Cricetulus griseus: one gene and its partners. The protein of the gene in region 4 purifies or fractionates together with the protein of the main gene of each other region. This does not show direct contact. Links are inferred from orthologs where the notes say so. Each region holds a gene or a part of one and is shown on either strand. Other genes may lie near its edges.

Evidence for each region.
Region 1: the proteins of ras association domain-containing protein 1 (region 4) and Map1b purify together in Homo sapiens (affinity purification with mass spectrometry; 3 studies listed by BioGRID and IntAct, counting the BioPlex papers as one, with this or other methods). This does not show direct contact. The link is inferred for Cricetulus griseus from reciprocal best matches to the Homo sapiens genes RASSF1 and MAP1B.
Region 2: the proteins of ras association domain-containing protein 1 (region 4) and Sav1 purify together in Homo sapiens (affinity purification with western blotting; 3 studies listed by BioGRID, with this or other methods). This does not show direct contact. The link is inferred for Cricetulus griseus from reciprocal best matches to the Homo sapiens genes RASSF1 and SAV1.
Region 3: the proteins of ras association domain-containing protein 1 (region 4) and Map1s purify together in Homo sapiens (affinity purification with mass spectrometry; 4 studies listed by BioGRID and IntAct, counting the BioPlex papers as one, with this or other methods). This does not show direct contact. The link is inferred for Cricetulus griseus from reciprocal best matches to the Homo sapiens genes RASSF1 and MAP1S.

Annotation. Positions count from the first base shown.
Region 1 is NC_048595.1:318,290,260-318,297,825, forward strand, and holds the start of Map1b (microtubule-associated protein 1B), read right to left. Parts: upstream 4,884-7,566; 5' UTR 4,733-4,883; coding exon 4,549-4,732; intron 1-4,548. UniProt on the Homo sapiens protein: Facilitates tyrosination of alpha-tubulin in neuronal microtubules. Phosphorylated MAP1B is required for proper microtubule dynamics and plays a role in the cytoskeletal changes that accompany neuronal differentiation and neurite extension.
Region 2 is NC_048598.1:133,399,155-133,406,263, forward strand, and holds part of Sav1 (protein salvador homolog 1), read left to right. Parts: intron 1-2,397; coding exon 2,398-2,844; intron 2,845-7,109. UniProt on the Homo sapiens protein: Regulator of STK3/MST2 and STK4/MST1 in the Hippo signaling pathway which plays a pivotal role in organ size control and tumor suppression by restricting proliferation and promoting apoptosis.
Region 3 is NW_023276806.1:248,105,038-248,112,903, forward strand, and holds the start of Map1s (microtubule-associated protein 1S), read right to left. Parts: upstream 4,514-7,866; 5' UTR 4,477-4,513; coding exon 4,353-4,476; intron 4,026-4,352; exon of another isoform or gene 3,791-4,025; intron 3,535-3,790; exon of another isoform or gene 2,886-3,534; intron 2,595-2,885; coding exon 2,490-2,594; intron 2,466-2,489; exon of another isoform or gene 1,748-2,465; intron 1,650-1,747; coding exon 1,567-1,649; intron 1,020-1,566; exon of another isoform or gene 1,000-1,019; coding exon 859-999; intron 660-858; coding exon 1-659. UniProt on the Homo sapiens protein: Microtubule-associated protein that mediates aggregation of mitochondria resulting in cell death and genomic destruction (MAGD). Plays a role in anchoring the microtubule organizing center to the centrosomes. Binds to DNA. Plays a role in apoptosis.
Region 4 is NC_048597.1:215,735,908-215,743,016, reverse strand, and holds part of ras association domain-containing protein 1, read right to left. Parts: exon of another isoform or gene 6,769-7,109; coding exon 6,662-6,768; intron 6,562-6,661; exon of another isoform or gene 6,339-6,561; intron 6,185-6,338; exon of another isoform or gene 6,076-6,184; coding exon of another isoform or gene 5,929-6,075; intron 3,467-5,928; coding exon 3,362-3,466; intron 3,157-3,361; coding exon 2,859-3,156; intron 2,739-2,858; coding exon 2,623-2,738; intron 1-2,622. UniProt on the Homo sapiens protein: Potential tumor suppressor. Required for death receptor-dependent apoptosis. Mediates activation of STK3/MST2 and STK4/MST1 during Fas-induced apoptosis by preventing their dephosphorylation.

The DNA of each region.
Region 1 (7,566 bases), on a different chromosome or scaffold from region 4:
TCATAAGCTGTTTTCCTCAATGGGTCCAATTTAATTGTTCCCTTTGAGAAACAGGCTTTTGAGTATTTCTTGTAAATATCAGAACAGCCAGCCTATAATCCTATGATTCTGTTTGGAAAACAACACTAAAAGGTAACCTGAACCTAGAACACAAGTATAAGTCCAGAGAAACAACTAAAAAGAAAATGCTAAGCGGCTTTTTAGAGAAAAGATTTCCCTGGTTTCCTTTGACCCAACCTTTGGTTTGCTCTTCTCTTTACAAAGCCTGTAATCTAATGTCTGTAACACATTTGTGTGTAATGCAAATGACATCTTAAAGAACATCATTTCAAAGCATTGGCAGTGAAAAACTCACTGTCTTAGATAACATCTTACAACAGAAGCAAACAAACAGTGATTTATAAGAATTTATTTCTTAATCTAAAAGTTAGAGGTTACTTTGGGAAGTAAGTTCTCAGGGAAGGTTAACAGAAAAGCACCAATTTAATGACCTTCCATTTGAGGACTGACCGGCTTGTGTTTTAACTTGGATCACAGAGCCCTTAGTGGGTAACGCCAATTAGGCAGCGCAAGCAAAATAATCCATCTGCCTTCTGACTTTGGAAGTGTGAAGACAAATATAATAAAAGTAACACATTCTAGCATCTCTTTAACTCCCACCATATATGGTTTTCACTTTTTTTTCCTTGCTAGAAGAAAATGAAAATTAAATCCCGAAGCTTTCCCAGGCTTTTAATTTCCTGGCCTGCCATCTTGGACAGAAGCATAATGGGTAAAGCAACATCAGACTGTTAGATTGTAACCAGCTCAACTCACATCTAAAGATCCAAGGCAGTGGATATTACAGTTATCTATTTTCTCAGGAGCACATCTTGTTCATTCCCAGTGTCACCTAGAGGGATAGTTGCCTTATAATAGTAATTGAAAGCCTCAAGCTAACATGTAGATGGCTTAGTTTCTTTAAAAAGAATGGCATGAAACAATGAAAACACATTGCACCAGGCTTTAAAATTCAGTTTGTCAGGTTATTGTTGTGTAGAGCCTATGTATTGAAATATACCAAATGACAGCATTTTTCTAAAAATAAATTAAGCTAACGCCACATTGGGGCTAATTGAGGAGGGACAAATGAGTCAGTTGGTGGTAGTCACTATGGTGGAATCAAGTCCTATATAACTACATCAGTGTAGCTGGACCAGTGTAAGGAAACACTATTGTTTGAAGCTCTGGGGAAAGAAATGATCAACTCTTTTTGACTTTGTGCTTTTCGAACACAACTGAGCAAGTAAGAGCAACCATTTTTCTTCCCTGGGCTCAAGAAGCTCTTAGCATCCATACTGGGGTGTTTCAGGCCAATTGTTTTTACTACATTATTTACCATCCCTCTGCAGGAGTCGAGACTATTTTTCAGAGTGCCCTGGGTAATCAATCAGATGGCAAATATACCAGTCTCCAGGGTCTCTAACTGCACAGTGCTTGAGTTTGGATGGGAAAGGAAGGGGAAATAAGAAAGCTAACAGATGAGAAGCTGTTTTCCCAGCCTGCAGGCAGCTCACAATCAGAGCTGAGCCCCCTGGAGCAGCTCCATCTTGCTTCACATAATGTAGCCTGCAGGCACCAGCAACAATAGCAGTGGCATCAGAGTGACCTCTGGAGGAGGCCCAGCTGCAATCTGCCCTCTAAAGCAGCAGTGTGTCATGCCAAGAAACAGAGCCTGCCTCCCTGTTGCTAAGTCATCTCCCACTGTCTGAAAATCCTGGGAAGCAGGATTTTCACTTCTCCTTGAAAGGCAGGGCAATGTGAGCTGCATAGGAGACCCCTGGACCCAGGAGAGCACTCTCCAGAGGATCAGCAACATCTGTTACTACCCTGGGGGAAAGGGCTGTGCTCACACACTTGGTTGATTCTTAATGAGATCGATATAACCATTTCAGAGATCTATGGAAAAATCTGACCAAATTAGGGAATTAAAAATCAAAAAAGCATGCTGATTGCAAAGTGAACATTGGGGTTGGTGGGCGGGGTGGCTCCTGGGATGACTATGGCTGTTTCTTATCTGGACAAGACAGGTATGCTCACTTTGTGAAAATTCAGTGAACTGCTAGCCTATGGTTTGTGCTTTTTTTTTAAATTGAAACTATTTTTTGTTAGAAAGACAAATCTGGATCTTAGTACTAAATGCTGGCAGTGTAAAACAAAATAAAGCTAGGACCAACATCACAGAATTCCTTGGCAGCATATTTTCTCCTCTGACAGAAAGAGGCTTGAATAAACCCCAGCAAAGGACGATCAGGCCAGTAACAAAGCAGGAAAATAACTGTAGTCAGAAGGTGATGGCCGAGCCACCTCCCTGCACTGAGCGCTGCCCACAAGTGGATGACTGTACAAAGACAAGGTCTGAAAACCGCCTGCTGAATCTTCCTCTGACGTTAGCCTGCCTGCACTACCATCTGACCCGGCCAAGCAAGTAGTGACACTGCAGTACCGGTCCTCCTGTCACTGCTTCACAATATGACCTTGAGTCTGTCCCTCACCCTTCCTGCCTCTCTGCGTACCCAATCTCTAAAAATGGGCGTGATGATTCCTCTCTTGGCACCACAATAGGTGATCCTGAAAATTCTGGAGATGAACAGACACTTCTTAATATGTTATTTCCCAGCAATGTTACATAAAGAAAATAATTTTAAAACACCCAGTCATTAATTCCCACAATAGCCACACCCAAAGTCAGTACGTGTGATTTTCCAAGGAATAAAATGTGCAAATAAACCCAGTTTGAGAAGCAGATCAAAGGCTTATAGCCTGAAAATGGATTACTGAGACGTTCAGATAAAGCATTCCACTTCTGAAATCTTATTCTTGTTTTTTTTTTTCCGAATGAAAAATCATGACTGGCTTTCTGCTCACTTTTGTTGTTGTTGTTATTGTTGTTGTTGTTGTTGTTTTCTTTTTAGCTGAAAGGGAAAATCCGTGCTTTAAAGTTAAACAAAAGAACCGGGTCTGCAACTCCAGTCCCCACCCTGCAGCCTTTTGTTCTGGGGACAAGTGGCCATTTCCAAATGCAGAGGCAGGTAACAAGCTTTTGTTTATTTATTTATTCATCTAAACCAAAATCATTTCATCCATCTTTTATTGGCGTGAGTGGGAGCGGGAAAGGAGGGCTGCGTGAACGCCCTTTGTCCGCCTCGGGCTGCCGTAGAGACCGCAGTGCGGACTGCACCACGCCCACCAGCCGGTGTCTCCTGGCAGAAACGTTTCAGCACCACCCCGAGAGAATAGAGCGCTCAGGCTGCGCTGTTCGGGGACCCAGCGACCTCTGCCAGGGATGAAGTGAAGGGAAGGATGGGGAGGAGGGCGGAATAAGGCAGAGGCCAGAGCTGCCCACCGAGGGGCTGGGAGCGCAACAAAGCGGCTCACAGCCAAAGGTGGGCGCAAGGCCCCCCGACCGCGCGCAGCTCGGGCAGAGTGAGCTCCGGGCCAGCCGGGGGCGCCGCAGTGCGGGGGCAGGTGCGACTGCCCAGTGCGGGCACTGCGGCAGGCCGGGTGGGGCTGAATCAAGGGTGGGGCTGAATGAAGGGCGGGGCCGATCGTGCCCGCCCGAGACTCCGTCCTCCCGGGCCCTCCCGGGCCCTCCCAGCCCCGCCCAGGGTTCCCCGGGAACCGCTATTCCTCCTCTGCAGAGCCCGCTCCCGGTGCGCGCAGCAGCCCAGGAGCTGGCCCTACCCCGCCACCCCCTCTTCCCATTCAAGCTATGGTTCCTGAAGCTGAGACTTTTCAAAAAAGCCCACCCCACACCCTGGAGTCCCATTGTCCTTTCTGAAAGCTGAAGCCAGGACCTCAGGGGCAGGACGAGGCCGGACTTCGTCTGGGAACCGAATGCAGACGGGTTCCATGCCTGTGTCCTGGGGGGTGGGGGTGGGGTGGGGCGGGCGTGGCACTAGGACTAGCCTAGTCATTCCCAGGAAAGAAAGGATCTGGAAGTTTAAAGTCAGAATGGGCATTCTCCATTCTCAGTGTGTGTGTGTGTGTGTGTGTGTGTGTGTGTGTGTGTGTGTGGTGTCAAGGGCGGGTTGCACAGGGTGGCTATGATAAGGACGATTTCCATGAGGGCCTTGGCACATGGTATTTGGACCCCAGGTTTTCGGGTAAGGGGAGGAGGGTCTCAGCCTTTGCCTAGGGCGAGAGGGAAGCTGAAAAGAGAGGTTATGCTAGGTCCACCCCACCCTTTCTGCGGTTGTGGTTTTATTATGGCCTCCGCTCCTCTGACACCTGCATTTCACTGACCACGAGAGGAGGTGGCCAAGTCGGGGGCGGCCACAGACCCAGCCAGGTGATCCATCCCTCGGGCTATTAAAGATTCTCTCTTTGGGTCTCAAATAGAATATTTGGAAATGAGCTCAGAAAAGAGTCCAGATGGAGTGTGGGATGTGGCCTGGAGAGGCGTGGGTGCGGGGCGCGCGGGAGAACAAGGTGGCGGTCGCGCCCTGGGTGGGGTCCTTCTGGCGCATCTACCTACGCACGTCCCTGGGGGGCCGCGGGACTGCTTACCCAGCTCGATGTTGCCGATGGCACGCCTCAGGTGCTCTTCGGTCACGGTTTCGCCGACCACCACCAGCAAGTAGAACTTGCTGTCTAGGAAGCGGTGCGACAGGCTGGGCGAGGTGGACGCCGCCGGGTTGGCGATGCTGCCCGATGGCTCCGGCTCGGTGGCTTCCACCACCACGGTCGCCATCCTGCGGGCGCTGCTAAAGCCTGGGCGAAGTGTTCCTCTCCCGCCGCTCCTCTGCTCTGCGGCAGGAGAAAAGATTATCTCCGAAGGTGCTGTCTCCGCTCCGCCCCCTGCGTCCCCCCTCCTCCCGGCGCGCGCGTCGCCTCCTCCTCCGCCCTCTCCCGGCGCGGAAGAGAGGAGTGGGGAGTGAGAGGCCGGGGAGGCGGTGCCGTTTATATGGAGACTAGGCTAGGAGCCTGGGAGGAGGAGGAGGAGGAGGAGGTGGAGGAAGAGGAGGAGGAGGAAAGGACCACCCGGCACATCCTCGTGGTAGCTGCCTCCACTCCTGTAGCCCTTGGCCCAGGGCTGATGTCATCTGCAGCAAATCATTTCGCCGGCGGCCCGGAAGCTGGAGGGACGAGGTGTGTGGACAATAGTCTGGGCAGGGCCGGGAGCCAGGCTCTGGGGGACCCAAAAAACTCTGCTGTAGCCCCGAGGCGGGCCGCACCACCACCCTTCCTTACACACGCCTTCCTTGCCCCAAACCATCAACTCTCCTGTACCGGAGAGGGGATGACTTCCTGTTTCAGAGTGGGATTATGTCCTGAGTCCCGAATGCACATCAGGCCTCTTCCTGTGTCCCATTCACCGTGAAGTTGGGATTTGCATAGCTGCAGCAATCACAGTGGGCCCTGGGTTAGGGTACCCCACTCAAGAAGACTGGAATCTGCCTTTTTGACCTTGTAGATTTAGAATGGTGTACTTGTCATTTTTGTTTGTTTGTTTCAAACAACAGGAATATTTACCACCTTAAAGGATACTTTGCAAGCCCTAAACCTAATACGTTCAGGCTTTGGAGTCTAGTCTGGAAAAGAACTGTCCTTTGGTGCTCATGGGAAATGAACGAGAGGAGGCAGACATATTATGTTAGATACAGATTTCTTTTTTTATTAATATGCTGAACAGATAGCATCAGGCATAACAAAGAATAGAGAAGATACTGTCTCTGCCCAGCAGGGTTACAGTGACTATAATGTGCTTTTCAGTTCCTTGGGGATACACAGGCAGAATTATTTTGTGTGACAATGATGTCTTTTAAGATACACATAGCTTTGGGAGTTTTTATTCCCTTTGTCTATATTTAGAAGAACTCATAATAATGTTTCTAAAGGCCACCATATACATCCACTTTTCACAAATCTAATGAATATATTTCTGTCTTAGGACAGGAGGGAAGGGCAAACACTGCATTATTATACAAACTGGGGATTAGAGTTTTAGGGAAGCAAGTTAGATGGAAATAGGTGTAGTCAATACACTTATTATTAGAGTATATACTAGTTTTAAAATGCTAACTGGAGGGGCTGTAGCTCAGCTTGTAGAAAGCAGGCCCATTCCAGCATCCTTATCATTGGGCAGTGTAGTCTAAGCACTCAGGCTGTTCAGGCAAGGAGGATCAAAAAAGTTCAAGGTCATCCTCGGCTTCTGATGAGTTCAAAACCAGTCTGGGATACATAAGACCCTATCTCAAAACAAAACAAAACACCTATTGAAAGATTTCTCAAAACAACCCAGTGTCTTTAAGTATTCTCTGTCATGACTTACTAGTTACATGTCTTTTGCCCTATTTCTTTCTTGAAGCCTGGAAAGGCTATCCAGTGGGCTGCCAAAGACTATGCTAGTCTGGTCAATGGAGACTCAAGTTACCTGACATATGGCATTAGGGGTCTGCAACAAGCTTGCTGCGGAGATTTGGCCACCAGTGAAAAGAAACTATTTAAGTGGGAAGCTGCCTGATGTTTGGTGAAGACAGGCAGCTACTTAGGTTAGGGCAGTGGGGTGGTCCATGGTGAGGGTGAGGAGGGGAACAACATCAGAATGGCTTCATCAGGTGAGTTTCTTCCATTTCTCAGAACCACCATTACTCCTATGTGTGGGGGAGTGTTTATGGTACTCTTTGTCACAAATTCCTGTGAGAGACTGGTGTAGGAAGATTTGTTTCTGCTCACAGATTCCTGTTTCCAGCCATGGTCTGTTCCTTCCTTTTCTTTTGTCCTGAGGTAGGACAGAACGGCGTGGTGGGAGGAGTGTGTAATGGAAGAGGGCTGCTCACCTCCTTGCAGCCAGGAAGCAGACACATTGCTTCTCCCCATTTCTTCCATCTGTGTCCAGTCTAGGGAGTGGTGCTAACCACATCCAAGGTAGTTCTTATCCTGTTAGCTAATCCTCTAGAAACACCCCAACAGACACACCCTAAGGTGTGCTTTACTAATAGCCTAGGTGTCTCTCAACCCAATCAAATTAATAATCAAGTTGATATCAGTGCTCTTTTACCTCATTTATTTTACTTAAATTTATTTGGGGAAAATGTCTATGTTTCTGTGTACATAGAAACACTACTATCACAAATAAATAGGAGGTAGTCCTCAAAATATCCAGAATGAAAATAAGATACTGTTAAACTTCTGCTATAAATTGTTCCTATTTGCTCAATTTTGAGCCTGAGGTATGTACTATCTTAGACAAAATCAGAAAGTGTTGAAATATACTAGCACTAACTGAATTGTTCCATATGTTGCAATGGAATATTGGATGTAAGGACAACAGGAGGCCAATGAGATGACTCAGTGGGTAAAGGTGCTTGCTGCCAAGCCTGGGAACCTAGGAAGTTCAGTCCCCAGGACCCACAAGTGGAAGGAGAGAACAGACTACCAAAAATTGTCCTCTGACCTCCACACACATTAATCAAGCAATCAATTAAAAGGGAAAAGTGCAACCAAAGGGCTGCTTCACTGTGGTGGTCTGTACAACGAAACCATGACCATAAACCACTCCAGTTTTCACCCTTGCTGTGCAAA
Region 2 (7,109 bases), on a different chromosome or scaffold from region 4:
GTATTGGGGAAAAAGTGCTTCCATCGGGCGCTTCTTTCTCTGCCTGGTACGTCGGGGGCTTTTGCCCGGTGTTTGCGACCATCGCGGGCGCCCGTGCTCCAAGTAGCACACACACCGTAGACTGGACTCCTTAGCCCTGCGGCGGGACACGGACTTGTAGCCGCTACCCAGAGCCGCCTCCTGTCTCAGAGCAAAGAAGCCACCAAAGTATTCGGATTAGGTTTTGCTCCTAAAATTCCGAAAAAGCAAACTACTCAGAATAATCCCTGCCTATATAGCAGGCAAGTTACTTTCTCCCTCCTCTTTCTAGGGTATGTTCCGTCTCCTCCCGTAGCTTTTCTTCTCCATTTAAAAATAGTCGACTGTGAGTTTTTAAACTTGAACGCCTTGATTTCTCTCTCTCTCTCTCTCTCTCTCTCTCTCTCTCTCTCTCTCTCTCTCTCTCTCTCTCTTTCTTTCAATTCGTGTGTATTCGGAATAGTTCTAAGAGAGGGTTCCTCTGGGTCTCATTTCTAGGAGCTGGGCCCCTTGTGTAATTTGCGCTTCCTTCTTGGAAGCTGGTAGTAACCGTGTGACTTAAATTAAGCATTACCTCATATTGTATTTGGGAAAGCTGTTCACGGAGGTTCCTAGTATTTGCCCAAGATCACGCAGAAAGGGGTGGAGAGCATTTATTTTTTTCATTGTAACCATGTGTGTCGAGCCTTACAAGTTATGTTAATAATTGTAGGGCTTGACGACAAAGTTGGTCGGGTGGGTATGCCAGTAACTTGAAACTTTTTTTTTCTGTTTTTAGGTGATAGCTTACTTTTTGCTGCAAATAAAATTTATTAAACATTACTTGAAACCATGCAACATGTTGAGTTCAATCTTTCAGTGAATAACTCGATACAGTTTCTGTCATCAACTTAATTATTCCAAAATTAAGATGTTCTAGTGTTAACTTCTGACACGTCTCAGTATCATTTACTTAATGAATTCAGAAAATGTGCTAAATATCCAGATTTCTTCATGTTTTAAAGGTATTCGCTTTCTAGCTTAGAAAATCTTAACCGCTGAGCCATCTCTCCAGTCTTCTAGCTAAGAAAATCTAAGCTGTTCACACATTGTTTTCTGTAATCCATTGTCTTGCTTTGAGTTATCTGTTCTTAAAGGAGCCATAATTATAATTCCAGGCTTATCATTTTTCAGTAGATTCAACATTTGTGTGCATCTTTGGGATTAGATTATTTTTCAATTTCCACACCGCACACTTTTGCTTTCTAATTTTGAACATTGTACCTAGAACTGGGTAATTCTGAGAGTAGAAAGACAAAACTGTTAATTTAAAAATCTTTTAAAAGAAATTTGCCTTTGCATGTTTTGGAGTAGCATTTTTCTTTATTGTAATGAAATTGTGTTGGAATGAACAAAGATTCTTTTTTTTTTTTTTGATGCAGACTGCATGAGGCTTTATTGTTGTTTAAAGAGCTAACCCCATGTTAGCTCAGGTCTTTCACCCACCTGTCATGGCGGATGGCTAGCAAAGACAGCTAGAAGGGGCTGCAGAGAGATCTTGTAGGGCAGTGTATGGGGAGTGTTTAGGGGTATGCACAGGCCTAGGATTGGTGTGCCTTCAGGCTTGGAGGGCTTGCCCTGTGTTGATTGGTCAATTGGTTGTTATGGCCCATAGGCCTTCCCAGGGTGGTTGCTATGCTCTGCACGTCATTGCTGTGCACTTGTCCCATAAGCACACCCAGAGCAGTAAAGCATAGCACCACCAGCTAACTTCTGATTGGTTCCTTCCCACGAGACAGGCATCTGACTTCTAGTGACTAGGACAAGGTCATGGCGAGCACGAGTTACTGTCATGGCTGCTGAAATGGGGAGCTGGTCCCTGCATTCCCCCACTTTCTTTTTTGGAAATTTCAATCATGGAATTGCTGTCTCCCTAGCGTCCCCATCAGGGAGTGAGAGATATTGGCATCCCCATGCAAGGGAGTTCCTTCTGACTTAGCATTTTAACCAGGGAAAATGGGCAGCGAATTCTTTCCCATGCTACTCCCTGCTGACTTTGGGACGAAGTTAGGGACCCATGAACAAAGATTCTTGGCAATACTAAAATCAAGTGAAAACCTAACTGCTGTGCTGCATGATGCTGTTGACTGCATTGATTTATTAGACTATTTTCAGTCTCACTGACATTGTATTGTATTTTCTATGACAATATACAGCATCAATTCAGGTGTTGCTGAGCTTATACATAGCACAGTAATACAGATTATAAATTTATTTGCTTGGGAAATTAAAGTACTAGTATTAAAATTAAATTTTTGTTTTCTGGAGCCCTTTGTTAACATATATAGCTTTAGAAGAGTGTACTTATTGAAATGGTGATCTTATTCTGTTTGATTATAGATCTTATGCCTTCATTTATTCGCCATGGTCCAACAATTCCAAGACGGACTGATATCTGTCTTCCAGACTCAAGCTCTAATGCTTTCTCAGCTTCTGGAGATGGAGTAGTTTCTAGAAACCAGAGTTTTCTGAGAACTCCAATTCAAAGGACGCCTCACGAAGTAATGAGAAGAGAAAGCAATAGACTGTCTGCACCTTCTTCTTACCTTGTCAGGAGCCTAGCAGATGTTCCTCGAGAGTATGGCTCATCACAGTCATTTTTAACAGAAGTTAATTTTGCTGTTGAAAATGGAGACTCTGGTTCCCGATACTTTTATTCAGATAACTTTTTTGATGGTCAGAGGAGGAGGCCACTTGGAGATCGTGTACAAGAAGACTACAGATATTATGAATACAACCATGATCTCTTCCAAAGAATGCCACAGAATCAGGGGAGGCACACTTCAGGTAACTTGACATAATAAATAGCACATTGGTTTATACTTACATTTTGATTTAAAAGGTGATCTTCTGTGGGTTTTCTTGGAAAGAAAAAAGAAAAAGAATTCCTAGAGAAAAAGAATTTCCATTTTGCCATTCTTGCTTCTGCCTGCTTACTAGTAGTTTTTAACCTACAATGAATGACAGAACTCTTGGGTCTGTTTACTGTGCTGTCATACTAAACTTGATGTTTATCTCAAGACCATATTGACTGTTAACACTTTGGGGCTTGAAAATGTGAAAAATTTAATGTCTCTAGTTAGATTGAAATTAGATTCAGATTGGATAGAATGAGAAAGGTAAGTGTGTTAGCAAATTTGTCTTAAACCTAAGAAAGGAAAAGAGAGGAGGAATTGACTGCTAGGTATACAAAGTGTGGGCCATTGCACCCTGAGTGATCTAGCACTGTTTTTCCAAACCTTACTTTTTGTAGTCAATTATTATTTCTCAGGTTGGTTAATTATGTGTGAAACCTGCCTTTTTTTTTGTAACAGGTGGGAAACATTATGTTAATGAAGAGAGCTGCACTTTTTTCTTCTGACCTGGAGGTACTCCTCCAAGAAGGGGCTTATGGAATGTGGTACCTCCACTTGATTCCTAAAGCTGCCATATGGGACCTGGGGTCAGAACCCAAGTCTTCTGCTCATTACTGTAGATGAACTGATGCATGCTAAGAAGAAAACTTTTCCCACTTAGTAAATTGTAGGCTTTAAATCTGGCAGGATAAAGATGAGGATGATTGGTGTTTTTTTGTTTTTTTGTTTTTTCTTTAATCAGACACAACTTATACTAAACTGACTGACTTAACAATTTGGAATACAAATGTTTTAGCAATAGGAAACTTATCTTAATTTAATATTCATTATGTGTCTAGCAGTCCCCTTGGGATACCTTATATTTAGAGAGACAAAACCAGCATACACACAATAGTCCTAAAATACCTTATGGTTATACTTTGTAGTACTAACTGTTAGAGGGAGTCAGAAGAAAGATGAGTGTTGGTTAGAGGAATGCATGCTCCAAGGAGCAGATAGAATTTGAATTAGTCTTTGAGCTTGGACTTGGCATTAACATGGTAGGAGAAAGACATTTTAGGTAGAAAATTGGGGATACCCACTGCAAACAGAGTAGGTGTGGTTTACATTTAGGAGACTATGTTCCTACCTATTTTAAGAAATGTGATGTAAGGTGAAATGGAGACTCATGGTCCAACAGAAGGCTGAGACTTGAAACAAAGAAACCATTGCCCATTTCAAGATTAAATGCTTGGAGGGAAGGGTCAGTGGTTAAGAGCACTGGCTACTCTTCCAGAGGACCAAGTTCATTTCCTAGCTCACAGTCCTCTAACTCCAGTTTGAGGGGATTTGATACCCTCTTCTGGCCTCTATAGGCACTAGGCATGCAAGCGATGGAGTATATGTTCTCTGCCATCAAGATCTAAAAGAGCATTAGATCCCCTGGAAGTGGAGTTATCGGCAGTTGTAAGCTGCCATATGGGACCTGGGATCAGAACCCAAGTCTTCTGCAAGACAGCAAGTACTATTAACCTCTGAGCCATTTCTCCAGCCCCCAGTGATTAGTATTTTAAAGCAAATTAATGAGGTACCTGCTTCAGACATTTGGAGGGACAAGGGGAAAATGGGACACATCCAGATTCATAGAACTAGGACCCCTGCTGGGCGATGGTGTCACACACCTTTAATCCCAGCATTCAGGAGGCAGAGGCAGGCGGATCTTTATGAGTTCGAGGCCAGGCTGGTCTACAGAGTAGTTCCAGGATAGCCAGGGCTACACAGAGAATCCTGTATTGAGAAAAAAAAAAAAAAAGATTTTAGGTTATAACCAACATCTGCTTTTAATGTCAGTAGACTTCCATTCTGAGTCTCTTCTGTTTAAAAACAAAAACATTTGCCTTTTTTTTTTGTTTGTTTGGATACAGGGTTTTTCTTTCTGTAGACAGAGTTTTTCTGTGTGTAGCTCTGGCTGTCCCCTGTAGATCAGGCTGGACTCAAACTCACAGAGATCCGCCAGCCTCTGCCACCTCAGTGCTGGGATTAAAGATGTGTGCCACCACGGAGAGGCTAACTTTTAAAAATTACATTTGTCTTAGTTTGGGTTACTGTTGGCATCGAGAGGGGGACCTTGGCAGATCCCATGGCAGGTGAGGGACAAACAGAGCATGCAGACAGAACTTATGTGGGAAGTTTTATTGGGGGAAGGAAAGGGAGACAGGGGAGAGTGAGTGAGAGAGAGAGGGGCAAAGACCTGCCTGCCTCTTCAGAGGAACTGTGGGAGAGAGCGGGAGTGGGCGGAGCTTGTCTCTTAAAGGGACCTTTTGCACCTGCATATAGAGACAGGGTATTGCCTGCCATGCTCGAAAGGGGTGATGCATTCTGACAAGTGACCAAGGGGTGGGGCCAACGTGTGTCTGGATGCTAACACCATGGCCAAAGCAACTTGGGGAGGAAAAGGTTTATTTGGCTTACAATTTCATATTATTGTCAAAGGAAGTGAGAACAGAAAGGGCAGAAACCTGGTGGGAGGAGCTGCTATAGAGGCATTGGATGGGTGCTGCTTACTGGCTTGCTCCCCATGGCTTGCTCAGCCTGCTTTCTTATAGAACCCAGGACCACCAGCCCTGGGATGGTACCACCCAAATTGGACTAGGTTCTCCCCCATCAATCACTAATTGAGAAAATGCCCTTCAGGCCTGCCTACAGCCTGATCTTACGGAGACATTTTCTCAACTGAGGCTCCCTCTGATTCTAGCCTGTGTTTACATGAAACTAGCCAGTACAATGTGTTCCTGCGTGTGCACATAGGTGCGTGGGCGTGTGTGGAGGTTAAAGGACAACTTGCAGGAATTGGTTCTCTCCTTCCACCTTGTGGGTCCTGGGAATCAAACTCAGGGACTAGTGCTGAGTACTTTTACCCTCAGACCAGTTGATCTCTGAAGCTTGCTGGCTGACCAGTCCAGCTGAATTGATTAGTTGGTCCTAAACTTTTAAAGTTTTAAAGATCACTAAGAAATAAAAATTTTAAAAATTAAACTGAAAGTATCAGACTTTATTTAAAAAGTACTGAATGTATTTATTCCAGTAAATGTACAAGCATTTAGTTAACTAGAATCATCTTGTGGAAGCTGATACTGTTTTGTTTTTGCCGAGCAAGAGAAGTAGCAGTTGTCTTAGTTCAATACGTAAAGCCCTTTACCAACATCCTAATTAATACACATGTAGCATTTGTTATCTGTTACTGTGGTCCTTGTGGAACTCATGGTTCCAGAACCCACTTTACTGTCTTTAGTAAAGACAAATACTGCTGGATTTGGAAACGAGAATTTTTAAGTGTTATTTACACATATAGGGCTCAGGCAGCTTCCTAGTTGTTAAGGTCTTTTGAGGCATTCCCAGTGAAGTTTGGTAAAGATGAAATACTAGTTGAACCTGAAGGGACCAGTTCCCCATTTCGGCAGCCATGACAGTAACACGTGCTCGCCATGACCTTGCCTTGGTCACTAGGAGGTCAGATGCCTGCCTCATGGCAAGGAACCAATCAGAAGTTAGCAGGTGGTGCTATGCTTTACTGCTCTGGGTGTGCTTTTCGGACAAGTGCACAGCAATGACGTGCAGAGCGTAGCAACCACCCTGGGAGGGCCTATGGGCCATAACAGCCAGTTGACCAATCAACACAGGGCAAGCCCTCCAAGCCTGGAGGCACACCAATCCTGAGCCTGTGCATACCCCTAGACACTCCCCTTACGCTGCCCTATAAGATCTCTATGCAGACGCCTCGAGCCGTCTTTCCTGGCTAGCCTCCATGGTGGGTGGATGAAAGACCTGAGCTAACATGGGGTTAGCTCATTAAACAACTATAATAAAGCCTCGAGCAGTTTGCATCAAGCTTTCGACTCCACCTGGTGATTGGGGTGACCTTGGTACTGGGCCAGATCCTGGAGGCCTGAGCTTCCGGGGGTCTTTCAAACCTTCTTGGAATATTCTGTCCTTAGCTTGTGAATGCTTACTTTATATTTAATGGAGCATTTTTGTACAGTTACAGCCATACAAACAGAAACTATTCATTTATGAATAAATGCCAGTTACTATTTTCTGGGACTAATTTAAATTTTGGAAAACTGAGTTTTTAAAGTTGTAGCTCAGAAACTGAAGTTCTTTTATTTTCTTATTGATTAATTTAAAATTGATGGCTTGCTTGCTTGGTTTTGTTTGAAG
Region 3 (7,866 bases), on a different chromosome or scaffold from region 4:
TGCGGGCCACGCTGCAGGGGCAGGGGTGCAATGCCCAGGCTGCGCAGCAGGCCCCGCGCGCACACTGCCTCATCCTCACCCCCGCGCAGCCGAGATGTTGCCTCTCGAGCATTGAGGAATACGACACCCAGGGCAGGGGACAGAAGGCGGCGCAGCCTCTCCTCGCATTGTCCCTGTGGCCCTGCAGCAGCCTCACGTTCTGCCAGCTTGCGGCGCAGCAGGCTATTGAGGCCAGGCAGGCTGTCTGCGCCTGCGTGGGTCACTAGCACTGCGTCCACGCGGTCCAGGTGGCGCACCAGCTTCCAGAAGCTCGACTTGGGGTTGGAACCGCCATTCACCAGCACAGTGAAGCCATTGACTGCGAAGAAGGCGGCGTCGCCCAGGCCACCAGGGAACACATAGCAGCAGGGCCGCGCCAGGCGCAGGAAGCCCCCTGCGGCCGGCGGCTCCAGCAGCTCGAAGGGCGATGGCGGCTCCAGCGACTCAGCCACATACTCCAGAAAGGCGCGCAGGCCCTCGGAGGCTGGCAGCCGCGCGGGTGGGTTCAGGCGCAGCCGCAGTCCAGGCGTGGGGCCCAGCAGCATCCAGTCCCCAAAGGTCGGACAGGACAGGGTGAGGGCCGGTGGGGCAATGGGTGCCGAGGCCAGAGCATCCTGGACCTGTAGGACCAGCACAGGGCCACCTGGATCCAAGGACTTGGGCACCACTCCTCCTAATCGCCAACCTGCCACTACGATCCCCAGGCCCTCCTGGCCCATGGCCCCATTCTTTGTACCTTCCCTCTCACAGCACTGTCTGGGTGAGCAGTTTGGGGGCCCTTTTCCCCACCCCAGAGCAGTGCGAAGGGGAAGAGCTCACCTCTTTGTCCCCCAGCACCTGCAGGAAGTGCTGCGCTGAGAACCCCCCGGTCTGCAGCAGCAGCTCCCCAGTCTCCTCCAGGCAGGGTCCTGCCAGCACCAGCACTTTATGAGGGGCAGGGTCCATCAGGAGGTTCCGGAGCTGTGGGAGGAACTGAGAGGCTGCAGGGGAAGCAGAGCCTGGCCCACTGTGGGCACAACAGTCCCTTCCCTGCAGCCCCCCTTCCTGCACCAGCTGACATCACCTGCCTAGCAGTACTCTGGCTACTCTAGCAGGAGACTGCTTCAGGCAGACACACCTAGCTTTTTTTTTTTTTTTTTTTTTTTAAGGCAAGATTCTCTATGAAAGCACAGGTTACCCATCACCTCTTAATCCTGCTTCTGTGGGAAAAGTGAGGCCTGCAGCAGCATCCCCAAAAAACACAGAACAAAACAAACGTTGAAAGGATCAACTGTGGCCAGCAGGGAGAACCCCAGAGCAGTCTGACGTCTGCTGATGTATATAACAAGTGCAGACTGACTAGCCAAAGCCAAGGCTCCTAGGCACCAGGGAGAGCTCCCAGGTCAGCCTGCTGGGTGTACCCTGTGGCTCCTGCCTTCCTGTCCCACCCCCACTAGAGACAGGAAGTTGAGGCAGGAAGGATCAAGCACATCTTCTGGGGCGTGTGTGAGGACAGGACAACACACATCCCAGGTCACCGGCTCCTACCTCATCGCACAGGGATTTGTCTGAAGGGTTCAGCAGGACCAGCGTCTCCAGGGTCTCTCCACGGTGGTGCAGGCTCCGCTGACCTGAGGGATGACAGGTTCAGGATGACAGAGAGTCAGGGGCCTGATAGCAAATCCTGCCACCACCAAGGGACCCTCAAGCATGCAAGCCCAGAACTCACACCAGGGTGCTACATCCTGTAAGCAAAGATGAGGGCAAATGGGAAGCGAGGGGTGCCTGGGCCTCAAGTAGAGACAACCAAGATAGCAGCACTGGTGCCAGGATGGCCACCCTCGCACAAGCTCCAGCTCAGCACTTAAGCCAGGAGGTGCCAGGAGGCTCCCAAGGGCAAACAGCAACTTCAGTCCCACCCCTGTGAGGCTGCTTGTAGAGCTCCAGCAGACTCAGCTGGAGCTATGTCACTACCCAGAGGGCCTTATCAGAGGGGCTGTGGTACACAGGAGGTCACACAGCATATGGCATTTCCAGCTCTTTCTCCAGGGATCAGGAAGCCACAGTGACTCAAAGGGACAATTAGATGGTCACTTCCTTCCCCTCCAGCAGCTGCAGGTGATGACTCAATCCACTGGCCAGGAGATGAGCTACAAGAAATACCCACAAAGCAGCCACCGGCTGCTCTGGCCACCCTGGGATCCCCTGGGGAGCTTTTCCTGTACCCCATCTCTGCTTCCCTATTGACTGAGACCACCCTGTAGGTTCTCCCCAAGGGCCCCTCCCTAGAGTCCTCCCTGTATCCTTTTCATGCATAGGCCCTGCTCTTCCTGACCCAAAGCTGAGGCAGCATGTCCAGGTTAGGGGTAGCAGGGGCCTTTGGTGGTGCCCCAAGCCATGCCCAGCATACAGCTGTCACTCAGCAGCTTGGCATCCAGTGAATGAGCAGTAGGGATCCTGGGACAGGTCACCTTTCACAATGCTGGAGAAGGTGGCCGAGTGCCGGGACACAAAAGCCTTGAGCTGCTCATCCAGGCTGCAGATGGTGGGGTCCACATCCTCCCATGAGCGAAGACCTGCAGGCAGCAGGAGACAGACCTCAGCTCCAGCACCCTCCTGTCTGGCTGTCCTGGCCCCACAGCTTGGTTCCTGGGCAGGCAGACCCAAGGGACTCAGGCAGGCCTCAGCCTTTCACTGACTGGAAGCCTGGCTGGCCATCTGTCCTAGGTCTCCTGCTTTCCTGCCAGGATCCTGAACTTAGAGGGAGGGAGGGAGGGAGAGAGGGAGGGAGAGAGAGAGAGAGAGAGAGAGAGAGAGAGAGAGAGAGAGAGAGAGAGAGAGAGAAAGTGTGTGTGTGTGATCCTCACCTTCTGCATCTTATGTCTGGGACAGTGTCCCTCACTGAATCTTCAGGTCATCACCTGGTGAGGCAGTGAGCAGCCTCTCCGGAGCTGGGATTACAGGTACATACTGCCAAGCCCAGCTTTGATGGGAGTCTCAGCTTCTGAGCACCTTGTTCCTCAGCCATCTCAGCCACTGGGGCAGCTGACTCAGACTCCCAGTGCTGTGAGCTCCCCTGGGCTGTGATACCTCTCTTCAGACTCTAAGACAGGTTCCTCTAAGCCAATGGTTCTCAACCTTCCTGATGCTGTCACCCTTTTTGTGGTGACCCCAACCATAAAATTATTTGTTGCTACTTCACAACTGTAATTTTGGTAGTGTTATGATTTGTAAATACCTGATATGCAATCTCTGTGAAGGGGTCAATCGACTCCCCAAAGGTGTGGAGACCCACAAGTTGAGGGCTGACATAGGGGGTTGTAATCCAAGCCCTGCCTGTGTTGAGCTGTCACAGTCAGAGACAGTCTTCAGACCATGCATTCAGATGGGCATCCTATGTTCTTCTGGGGATTTGGGGTTTTGTTTTGGTTTTTTTTATTTGTTTTTGGTTTTTGAGACAGGGTTTCTCTGTGTAACCCTGGCTGTCCTGGGACTCACTCTGTAGACCAGGCTGCCCTGGAACTCACAGAGATCCACCTGCCTTTGCCTCCTGAGTGCTGGGATCAAAGGCGTGCACCACCAACGCCCCGCAGGGTTTGGTTTTTTGAGACAGTATTTCACATAGTCCAGGATGGGCGCAAATTCCCTAAGATGCCTCCAGCTGAGGACAAACCCCTTATCCTGCCTCCATCTCAGAATTTATGAGATGAGCAGCGAGGGACGCTGGGGATTAAGCTGGGTCTGCATCATGCCAAGCATCGCCCCTACCTACCGAACCTTCCTTGTTTTCAAGAAAGTTGTCTTGTGGCCCAGGCCATCCTGGAACTCGCTGCCCCGTTGCGAGCGGTGCTGCCCCTCCCGGCGCCCCGGTGTGACAGGTGCGCCTGAGTCAGCTCCCCGGTGCCAAGCGCCCCCAGGGCGGCCGCGCCACCCACGCGCCAATTAGCATCGGGAAAAGCAGGCCCCGGGGCGCCAGGGAACGTGCGAGCCTGGCCAGGGGCGGGGCCACAAGAGGAAGCCACACCCCGCCGGAACCCCGGGGCCGGGGAGACGGCGCCCACCCGTGCCCCGCGTCGCCCCCGGAACCCTGTCCCCCGGAATCCGGCCCCCCCCCCGCCGCGCCCCACGCGGACCCAGTGGCCGCGCCGCCGGGATGTGCCCAGGCGGCCGTCAGGCGCGCGCGGGCCCCGGCGCCCCCGGACCCCAGGCCGCGCCCGGAACGTGGCGTCCCGGGACGCCGCGCCCCGCCCGGACCCCGGCCCGCAGCGCGCCGGAACCCCCCGGCCCCACCCGCACGCCCCGCCGCCCGGCCCTCCGGCCCCCGCGAGCCCCACCTCGTTCCAGCTCCTCCAGGACGTAGGCCAGCAGCCCTGGGCAGCCGCACTCGCCGCCCACCACCAGCAGCAGCAGCGAGCTCGGCGCCGCCACAGCCTCGGGCGCCGCCATCACCGCCGCCATCTTCGCGCTGCCCCGACGCCCGGGCGCCCCGCCCCCGTTTGGCCACGCCCCTTCGTGGGGCGTAGCGGAAGCGCCGGAGACCCCGGGCGGAAGCGCCCCCTCCTGCCCACCCATCAGCGCCCTGGAAGCCTCGGGAGCCGGTAGAGAGCTGAGACAGCACTGTTCTGAGGGGCTGATAACACCGCCAAAATTCCATCCATTCATTCACCCATTCGCCCAGTCGCCCATGCAGGGACACTCTTACAAGTTCTGTCCCGTAAAGTCAGCCTGTAACAGCGGCTCCACACAGAACCAGACTCTGATACGAACTAACAGCTCCCTAAATTAGGATCCCGACAGGTAGGGCTTGGAGGGGTGTGTAGGAGTTTGCTGTGTGAGTGTCTGCGTCTGGGTGTGGTGACACACGTTACAGTATGGGGAGGTATTTAAGTCAAGAGGACACTTCCTGTCATTTTAGGAGAAAGGACATTTTGGAGCTGTCAAATCAGCAGGCCTGTTAGTGTTAGCGCCCATTTGACTCCAACTAAGTCCGCCTCTCGGCCTTCATCGAACTAATGATCCTCCGGCCTCCACTCTTCCCACATGCTGGGACGGCAGGCAGTCAACACTACAAAAAGCTTTGGTTCCACTTGGACTATATATAGCCTGATGGGCACTGCTTGTGCCACTCCCATCCAAACCGGCTGGAACAGCCTCACTTCTATCTTTGATGGCCACCCCATGTTAACTGTTCAGACCGAGAGTGCCCGCTGGCCGCCCTCACGAGTGAGCCCGGCCTCTGGTGTATACTCAGGGGGCTGAGGCAGGGGGATCAGAAGTTCACAGTCAGCCTCAGTTACCTAGCAAATAGGAGGCCAGTCCCTGCATCAAAAAGAAACAGTAAAAAAAGGCAGACTCATCCCTTTAACCCCAGGACTCGGGAGGCAGAAGCAGGCGGATCTCTGTGAGTTCGAGGACAGCCTGGTCTACAGAGCGAGTGCCAGGACAGCCAAGGCTACACAGAGAATATTTCAAAACAAAAAAAAATAAGCAAAATGCAAATCAGGACAGACGTGAAAAGGACTAGGAAGCAGAGCCAAGCCACTGCTGATTTTCTGTCAGGGCCTGTCTACACCAACTTCCTCCTTGGTCAGTATGTAGCCGTGGCCTCATGATCCAGGGTTCCTGGATACCAATTTCCTGTCTTTTTGGCTCTGTATCCTTCCCAAGTCCTGACTCCTCCTGTGGCTGGTCAGCCTGAGAAGGCTGGGACCTGTATTTTCCTCTGTTATAATGGAAACAGACCTGGGTTTGGCGTTGCATCTGGTCACCCCAGACTCATCTCAGAAAACTGAACTAGAAGGATTGTGGAGAGTCTGAGGCCATGTCAGGCTATAGAGCAAGCCCAAGGACAGCCTGGGCTACATAGGGAGTTCAAAGTCAATCTGGAGTATAGAGTGAGTACCAGGGCAGCCTGTGGTAATCCTTTAAAACCAACATAAGAAATGGCTCAGCAGCTAAGAACTCTTGGATGCTCCTGCAGGAGACCCAAGTCATTCCCAGCACCCACACTGCAGCTCCCAACTGCCTGGAACTCCTGCTCCAAGGAATCTACAGACCCTTTCTGGCCTTCATGGGTGTGTGTGTGTGTGTGTGTGTGTGTGTGTGTGTGTGTGTACATACTAAGAAATCTTTAAAGCAAAACTAAGAGACAGGCATGTTGGCTCCCCTTTAATCCCCGCACATGGGGGGCAGAGGTAGGCAGATTTTGTGGTCAGCCTGCACTACATAGAAAACTTCAAGCCACTTAAGGCTACAGGGAGACCCCACCAAAAAAACCAGGGAGCTGGAGAACTGATGAAGACCAGCAGCCTCGTGCTCTCTGTTTCTGTCCTGTGCAAGGGACACTGAGTGAAGGTTTGCAGAATGGACCCAACAGCCTGTCTGCTTGTTCAGTCTTTTCCTCCGTCACCAGTCCTTTGGAATATGAACCCAGGAGCTGAAGTTTGCATTCTTCCAGACGCCTAAGGCCCCTCTGTTTTCCTTTTCCCCATCTGTCTCTCTGTATTCCACAGGGGCCTCAAACTGTCGGGTCTCCTGCCTCAGCCTCCAGGCTTTGGGCAAGGCAGGCCTGGGGCCTAGCACCTGCAGTTAGTGCTGATGTCATAATCTGGTCTCTGAGGGCCTGGAGTGGTTCCCCATTAAACTTTGCATGAGTGTTCTGTAAAACTCTCAAAATAAGTCTCGTGTCCTTGAGTTTTTCTGTCCCTGCAGTTCGGGGTCCAGGCGTGGGGAGTGCAAGGCTCTTCTCGAGAAGATGAATCACTGGTCAGTTCCAAATACTAGACTCGGAAGTCAGGCCACGTCGCTCTCCTCTGTCCACATCTAGATCCAGTCAGCTACTAGGTCAGCGGCCTCATACCCTGGGACGGGGTGGCGGGAGGGAAGCGAGTGATGAGGAAACGCAGTGAACCCTCGGGGCAGACATTGTGTCTGTAACACTCCCAAGTACTTCAATCAGACAACCCTCTCCACTGCTGGGGACACACAGGACCTCCACAGGATCCAGAGCCGCGTGTCAGCTTCTCACTGGGGGTTTCTAGGCAGCCACCCCTGAGCCACGCCCCCAGCCCCTCCCTGTGGGATCCCAGGCTGTCACTCTACCCCTGAGCCACGCCCCCAGCACCTCCTTAGAGGGTTTTAGGCTGTCACTCTATCCCTGAGCCACACCCCCAGCCCCTCCGCTCAGGATCCCAGGCTGTTACTCTACCCCTGGGCCACGCCCCCAGCCCCTCCTTAGAGGGTTTTAGGCTGTCACTCTACCCCCTGATGCACGCCCCCAGCCCCTCCCTGAAGGATCCGAGGCTGTCACTCTGCCCCTGAGCCATGCCCCAGCCCCTCCTTAGAGGGTTTTAGGCATACATAGACCAGGCTCCCCTGTAAGTTAAAATGTTCCCGCCTCCATCGGCTGGCAGATGTGGGACACCAAGCTCAACCCTGCTATCACTCTGACAGCGACCAGAGTCCCGCAACGCTCTAGAGTCCCACCGGCATCATGCCGCCCCTGCCGGTCTCTGGAGGAATTGCGGGCTGAGCCCAGGCCACGCCCCCTCAGTCTGCACCAGTCGGGAGCTGCGGGAACTCATGGCGTGGGCCTGACCTAGCTTCCTTCACAAGCAGCACCTTCAGTGTTTCAGGTTCAAGTCCATGGCTCCTGGGGCATCGTGTCCTCTCAGTTCCTGAGAGAGCGATGCACTCTCTCGGTCAGTGAGGCATTCAGGCTTTTTGTGTTTCTCTGTGTGTTCCCTTAGAAGTCAATGAAGCATTGGGCAGGACAGTTGGTCTTAGACATTAATCTTGTGTACCCTGTACAACTTGCAAACATCACTGTATCCTGGCAACTATAACTGT
Region 4 (7,109 bases):
TGTATGGGTGTTTGTATGTATGTGTGCAAGCGCACTCGAGCATGTATGTATGCACATCTTGTGTTTGCCTGGTGCCACATAGAGATCAGAAAAGGGCATTAGATCCCTTGGGACTGGAGTTACAGATGGTTGTGAGATGCCATCTGGGTGAAGATGCCATGCTCTTCACTAAGCCAACTCTTTAGCCCCTTTTTGTTGTTCTTTGAGTTACAGTCTTGCCACATATCGAAGGCTGGCCCTGAACTTGTTATGTAGCCCAGGTTAGTCTCAAATCTGTGATTCTCCTGTCTGTTTGCTGAATGCTGCTATTGCAAGTATTTATCAGTATGCTAGGCTGACATTAGGCTCTTGGCTAAATAGTCTGTGCTAGGATCTTCATGAGAAGTCTGCATAAAAGACAGATCTTATAAAAAAAAGTTATCTCATAGACACAGGGGGCTGGAGAGATGGCTCAGGGGTTAAGAGCATTGCCCCTTCTCCCAGCAACCACATGGTGGCTCTCAACCATTTGTACTGTAGTCTGGTGCCCTCTTCTGGACTGCAGGGATACATGCAGGCAGAACACTGTATACATAACAAATAAATCTTTAAAAAAAAAAAAAAATTGGCATGTTCTCAAATACCTGTTGTCTCCCCCTGCCACAATACAATGGGCTATGAACCAAACCCAGAGTCTCATAAATGTAAACAAGCTACATTTTTCTTTACTTCAAGCTACCTTCTCAGGCAGCCCACTAGTCATCCCGATTTTTTTCTTTTGCTGCTGAGCTTTACGCATATTAAGCATATATTCTTACCACTGGGCCACACACTGAGCCCTATGTGAGAAGCCTTTTTTATAACATTACTGGGAGTTGAATTGTGCTGGCTAGTTTTAGGTCAACTTGACACAAGCGAGTATTACCTGAAAGGAGGAAACCTTGAGAAAAATGCCTCTATAATATCCAGCTGTAAGACATTTTCTTTATTAGTAATTGATGGGGGAGGGCTCAGCCCATGGTGGGTGGGGCCATTCCTGGGCTAGCGGTCATGGATTCTATAAGAAAGCAGGCTGAGCAAGCCAGGGGGAGCAAGCCAGTGAGCAGCACCCTTTATGGACTCTGCATCAGATCCTGCCCTGTGTGAGCTCCTGTCCTGACTTCTTCCAATGACGGGCTATGATGTGGAAGTGTACAAATAAACCCTTTTGCTTTTGGCCATGGTGTTTCATCATAGCAATAGGAATCCTAAGACATGAACCAAAGGCATGTAACATGCTAAGCACATGAACCACCGAACTATGGCCCAAATCCTTTTACTTTTTGAGAGAGCATCTCACTAAGTTAACCCAGACTGGCCTTTAGGTTACTTTATATCCCCAGGAAGACGTTGAACTTGTGATTCTTCTGCTTCAGAAGCCCAAGTAGTTGAGATTACAGGCCAGTGTCACTAGGCCTTGCTAGGAAGAATGTTTTTTGTTGTTGTTTCTTTTTTGATATAGGACCTTGCTATGTAGCTTAGCCTGGCCTCCGGCCATGGTGCTCAGTTCACTCAAAGAGTGCAAACTTGTAAGGATCATCTACTATCATGAACTTGCGCAGCAGGGCCTCAATGACCTCACGTGCCTAGCTGGTAAAAAGTCTTAACACTTGAAAGTAGGCCTTCCTGTTTCCTGGTTATACCTGTGAAGCTTTTTTCTTTAAGATTTGTTTTTAGGGGCTGGAGAGATGGTTCAGTGGGTAAGAGCACCGGTTGCTCTTGCTAGGACCTGGGTTCAATTCCCACCAACTATATGTTGGCTTTCAATCATCTTAGCTCCAGTTTCAGGGAAGCCAACATCTTCTGACTTCTGTGGACATGTGTACAAACATATATATGCCTGTGAGCATATATGTGCACTGTGTGCATGGTCTAGAATTACGGGCATCAGTAACCCTCTATGTGGATGCTAAGAACCTAATCTGGGTCCTCTGTGTGAGCAGTAAGTGCTTTTAACCACTGAACCATCTTTCCAGCCCCATTGTTTTAATTTTATAGGTGTGTGTCTGTGTGGGTTATGCACACATAAGTACAGCTACCCTCTGAAGCCAGAAGAAGAAGTCAAATCCTTTGGAACTGGAGTTGTAGGTGAAAGTGGTCTACCTAACATGGGTGCTTCAAACAGAATTTGGGTTCTCTGGAAAAGCAGGAAGTACTCTTAACTCTTAACTGCCAAGCCATCTCTAAGCCCACACCTGTGTAGATTTGAACTTGTGTTGGCTCACCATGAGTCAGTCAAATCCCTCAATCTTTGGAGCAATTTCCACACCAAGAAACAACAAAGTGCTAGGAAAATTCTTCTTCGCTTGCTTTTGTGGCCCAGACTGACCCCAAACTCCTAGCAAGCCTCAAGTCTCAGCATTCCAAGCCCCACAATGACAAGTATGAACCACTAGATTCAGTTTCTTCCTAGTTTCTTGGGATAGGCTCTAGACTTTGGCTTGAGTGTCCTGGAAACCCATACTTTAATTTCGGGGACCTGTATATTCTTACAGAGGTTGTGCAGGCTTGTTCTCCAGCCCAGTTTCTCCTGAAACCCTCATTGTAGCTACATACTACCAGCTTTGTCTAGTGATAAGAAAATAAGAAAGATTATGTACTCACATTCACCTCCCCAGAGTCATTCTCTTTTAAGACAAAGCTCAGGGCCTTCTCACTAGGCCCTGCAAGAAGCCGTAGCTTCAAGGGCTGCTCATCATCTGACAGTTTCCGGAAGTACACTGGAGGTCAGGCAGGGGGAAAGGATAAAGAATTAGAAACAGGCTCAGGTGCCCCAGCCCCTGAATGCACAGGTATGGGATATATACCTTACACAGGGAGAGCTGGGATAGGAAACCTACCTTGGCCATGACGCTCTGTTCGCTCAAAGAGCGCAAACTTGCGAGGATCATCCACTACCATGAACTTGCGCAGCAGGGCCTCAATGACCTCACGTGCCCGTGTTCGTGACAGAACATGCAAGTGCTTAATAGCATCCTTAGGCAAGTAAAAGGAGGTGCGGCGCCTCACAGCTGTGCTCCGCCCTGGGCCCCGCCGGGCGTCCTGTAAAGAAGGCGGTTTCTTGCTGGAAGGCACTGAGACAGGACGTACCAGTTTCAGCTGAACCTTGATGAAGCCTGTGTAGGAGCCATCCTTGTTCTAAAAAGAGAAAGAAAAACCATACCATGACAGGAAATTCTACTGGAGATGGAAGAGGCTAGGGTTGAGTCCACCTGGGGCTAGGCTAGGTATGCATAGATCACGGCTTGAGCCAACCAAGAAGACTTTGGCTACAACTCTAGCCATCTGGCACAAAGCTGGGTTCTGCTCCTCCCCACACTGCTAGCCTGAGCAGTCAACTCACCAGGCTCATGAAAAGGTTGCTGTTGATTTGGCCATTGTAATCCTTGATCTTCTGCTCAGTCTCAGCCTGAGAAAGGTCAGGTGTCTCCCGCTGTACAGGCTCGTCCTAAAAGACAGGCCAGCATGGATACAGGGTCCTTGAAAAGTGCAAGGCTTAGCTGGGCTCTTGGTGGCGCACGCCTTTAATCCCAGACTCGGGAGGCAGAGGCAGGCGGATCTCTGTTAGTTCGAGGCCAGCCTGGTCTCCAGAGCGAGTGTCAGGATAGGCTCCAAAGCTACACAGAGAAACCCTGTCTTGAAAAACAAAAAAAAAAATACAAAAAAAAAGTGCAAGGCTTTTTTGGTGGAAAAAACAAAAAAGCCAGAACACCCCTTGGATCTTGATTTTGGCCCTGTCACTAAACCCAAACCCCCTGAATTTGTCACTGCTCTCAGTTTTGCATGTTATAGATGAAGACAACAAAGAATCATTTGGCTTTCTGCTGTCTGGGGGGTGGGTCACCTCAGCACTGGTTATGGCCCCTAACAGCATTACAGAAATAAAGACAAATAAAGGCACATGGCAAGGGGCCAGGAAAACATGAAGGACTATTAGGGAGGAATGTTGTTTAAAGTAAAAACACTTCTTGGGGATAAAAGTGACAGAGTACTTGTCTAGCAAGTGAAAGGCCCTTCCATTCCAAGTACTACCCCCACCCAAATAAAATTAAAACCGTATCTCAACTGAGCCCAGAATACCAGTAGGGTCAAAGTTTATTCTGGAGAAGGCAGCCCAAGTCTCCCACTTTGTACCAGCACAGAACTTGAGGCACTGCAGGGAGCGAAGCATGGGAGCTGACACACACCAGGAGTCTAACTACCAGCAGGCAGGAGGGAAAAGGTGATCTCTGTAATACCAACACGGGGCCAGCCCCACCACATCTCACATAGGGGAGAAATCACTGTCACATAGCATTTACCCATGACTCAAGCTTCACCAAAGGCAGCGTCAAGCCAGGTTCTAATCTGCCAGAGATGTGCAGGCAACTTTCTGGCAGAGGCCATCCTATCAGTACCAAGCAGGTAGGATGCTCTTCCCCTTGCTGTCTGGAAACTCAGCCTGAAGCTTTTTTAGCTCTTCAGGAACTGGGTGTTTGCTGGCAGGGTGGAGAGGGTCAGAACAGTCAGGACTCTGAACTGATTTTCTTCAACCAAACTCACTTGGCCTTACTGCCTCAGTCTTCCTGTTGACATCAGAAAGGTCCTGGTACAAACACAGCTGGGATGGCCACTGTCTCAGCTGGGGATCGAACCCACAGCCTCACACAAGCTGGGCAAGTGCTCAATCCCTGAACTATATCCCCAGCCCTTATTTTACCTTATTTCTCAGCTCCCATTTATCTATTAATCTATTTATTTATTTTAGTTCATTAACGATGCTGTGGATGGAAGCCAGGCCATCATGCAAGCTAGATAAGTATCCTCCAACTGAACTTGCTACAAACTTCAGCTGCTTTTTAACAATTCTTCATATACCTTTCAACTGGCTAGTACCTTGTGTTTTTTCCACCTTTCCATAAGAGAAGATGACTCAGGCTGCGTGGCACGGAGACAGTCCCAGGGGCCCACACTGAATCTACAGTCTGGACTAAAGTTTTTTGGGTGTCAAGTAGCAGCCCATCTATAAAAAAATCTGTAGCAAAATCTCACCTACACCACCACCACAGACAACTCCATTTTTTTTTTTTTTTTTGGCTCAAATAAGGAATTCTACTTCGCTGCTGCTAAGTTTACTAACCTTCGGTCTCCACCTCACTCTCCCGATGCCCCAGCCTCTGTGCTCTTTTGAGGTATTCAGGTTCAAGAATAAATTATCTGAGGGTGGTGGTCACAACCACGACAGTCCCAGAAAAGTCTCTGATAATGTGGCACATCTAGGAGACTCTAAGAGAGATTCAGCTGCCCTGGTAGTACACTTTACAGTTAGTCTTCCCGCTCCTAATGCTTAAAGTCCAAGGCAAAGATCATCTATCTGACTATGCACCCCCCCCCAGCAAAGTTAAGGAAGATCGGAAAATTGTCTACATCCCAGCATCTGGTGTCAGAGTTGGCCCAGCAATGGCTGGGGACTTTACTGGCTGATCCAAGACTGAAAATGGAAGGGACAGGGTCCCCTCCCAAACAAACTTCTCACTTCCCGGCGGACTCCTCCTCCACTTCCTTATTTCCCCCAGGGAGGGAGTAGGAGCGCCCAAATGCGAAATCAAGATGCGGGTTTGGGCTGAGGCTGGCTTTAGTCATGGGTGAATAACGCCCGCCTGGGGTCCACCCAAGCTTCGCAGCTGCTTGCCCTGGCTCAACCGGTCTGTGACCGCAAGCCAGGGAAGCCCGGGTACTCAGTTCCAGCGCGCTGGACCCCGGCTTAACCAGGAGCAGAGCCCTACACACATTTCCCGGGGCCGTTTCCGTGTGGCCCCGCCGGGAGGCTCACGGAGAGGCGGGCAGGGGCGGGCGGGGCTCGAGCGGCCGCCCCTCACCCGCCGGCTGGCCGGCCGGCCGCACCCCCCTCCGCCCCGGGGCGGCTCCCACCTGGTCCCGGCGGGGCCTGCGGACCAGCGAGGTCCGCGCCGTGAAGTACTGCTCGAGCTCCGAGTCCGAGTCCTCCTGGCTGCAGTAGCCACTGCTGGTCGTGCTGCTCCAGGTCATTTCGAAGGAAGGCGTCTCAGCCTCACCCATCGCCTTGCCCGCCCGATCCCTGGTCCACTGCGTGCGGAGCCTCCAACCACCGCCCCGGGCGCGCGCGTGCGTGCGTGCGTGCGTGCGTGTGAGCGTGTCTGTACGCGCTTGCGCAGAGGCCTGCAACGCGCGGTGACCGTTAGGGCTAGACAACCAGAATCTGGAGCTGATGGTACGGCGGGGGGGGCGATGGTGGGAGGGGCGAGGGGCGGGGACACAACGCTACACCCCGAGGAATGACCTCATCTCTGAGGCATCTCCACTCGGCCCCGCCTCCCAGAGGGAGGGAAGTGTCTGTGCGCGCGCGCATGTGCACCGCCGTTGCCTCAGGGCCGGAAGCGGGGTGTGAGAAGTGCGCGTGTAGCGTGCCAGGGCGCGACTTCGCGGCCAATGGCTTGTGGGCCGTGGTGTTTGCGTGGAGTCAGCTCCTGACAGACCCACAAGCAGAAGTGGACTCCCTGATGCCGGGAAATCGGTAATTGGGAGGTTCGTTGTGTGCGGCGCCTGGTACCTCCCCTGAGGGAGGGCTGACGAGCCCCAGGTCCCCTCCCCGCCCACACTCCCCCCACCCCGACCCCGAGCTCACCACGTTCGTGTCCCTTTCCAGTGCGGGATCCCAGCCCAGGTCTCGGGGCCCGCAGCAGTCCAGGCAGACGAGCGCACGACAACGGTAATGGCAGGTGAACTTGCAGTCTGCAGAAAGGGCTGACGGTGAGGCGGAGGAGCTTGGCCAAGTGACCCACAGACTGAGGGAGCCTCTGCCCGACAGATTTGGGCTCCACTGGCTTTTTCTCAAACGCGGTTGCCGCCCACTGCTACACAGATGCTGGAAGCACGTTTGGAAACTGCCTGGAAGGCCTCAGGCTGTTACCCTGCTCAACACTTGTGTTTGCCTATCTACCGCAGAGCTACTACTTCACTTTGCCATTAACTTGAAAACAAAAGTGTTTAATTTACGACTTCCTCTATTTGTCATCTGCCTCTTCACTTGTTTACACAAGCCTATTTTGTTTTCTGAGAAAGGGTCTCATGTA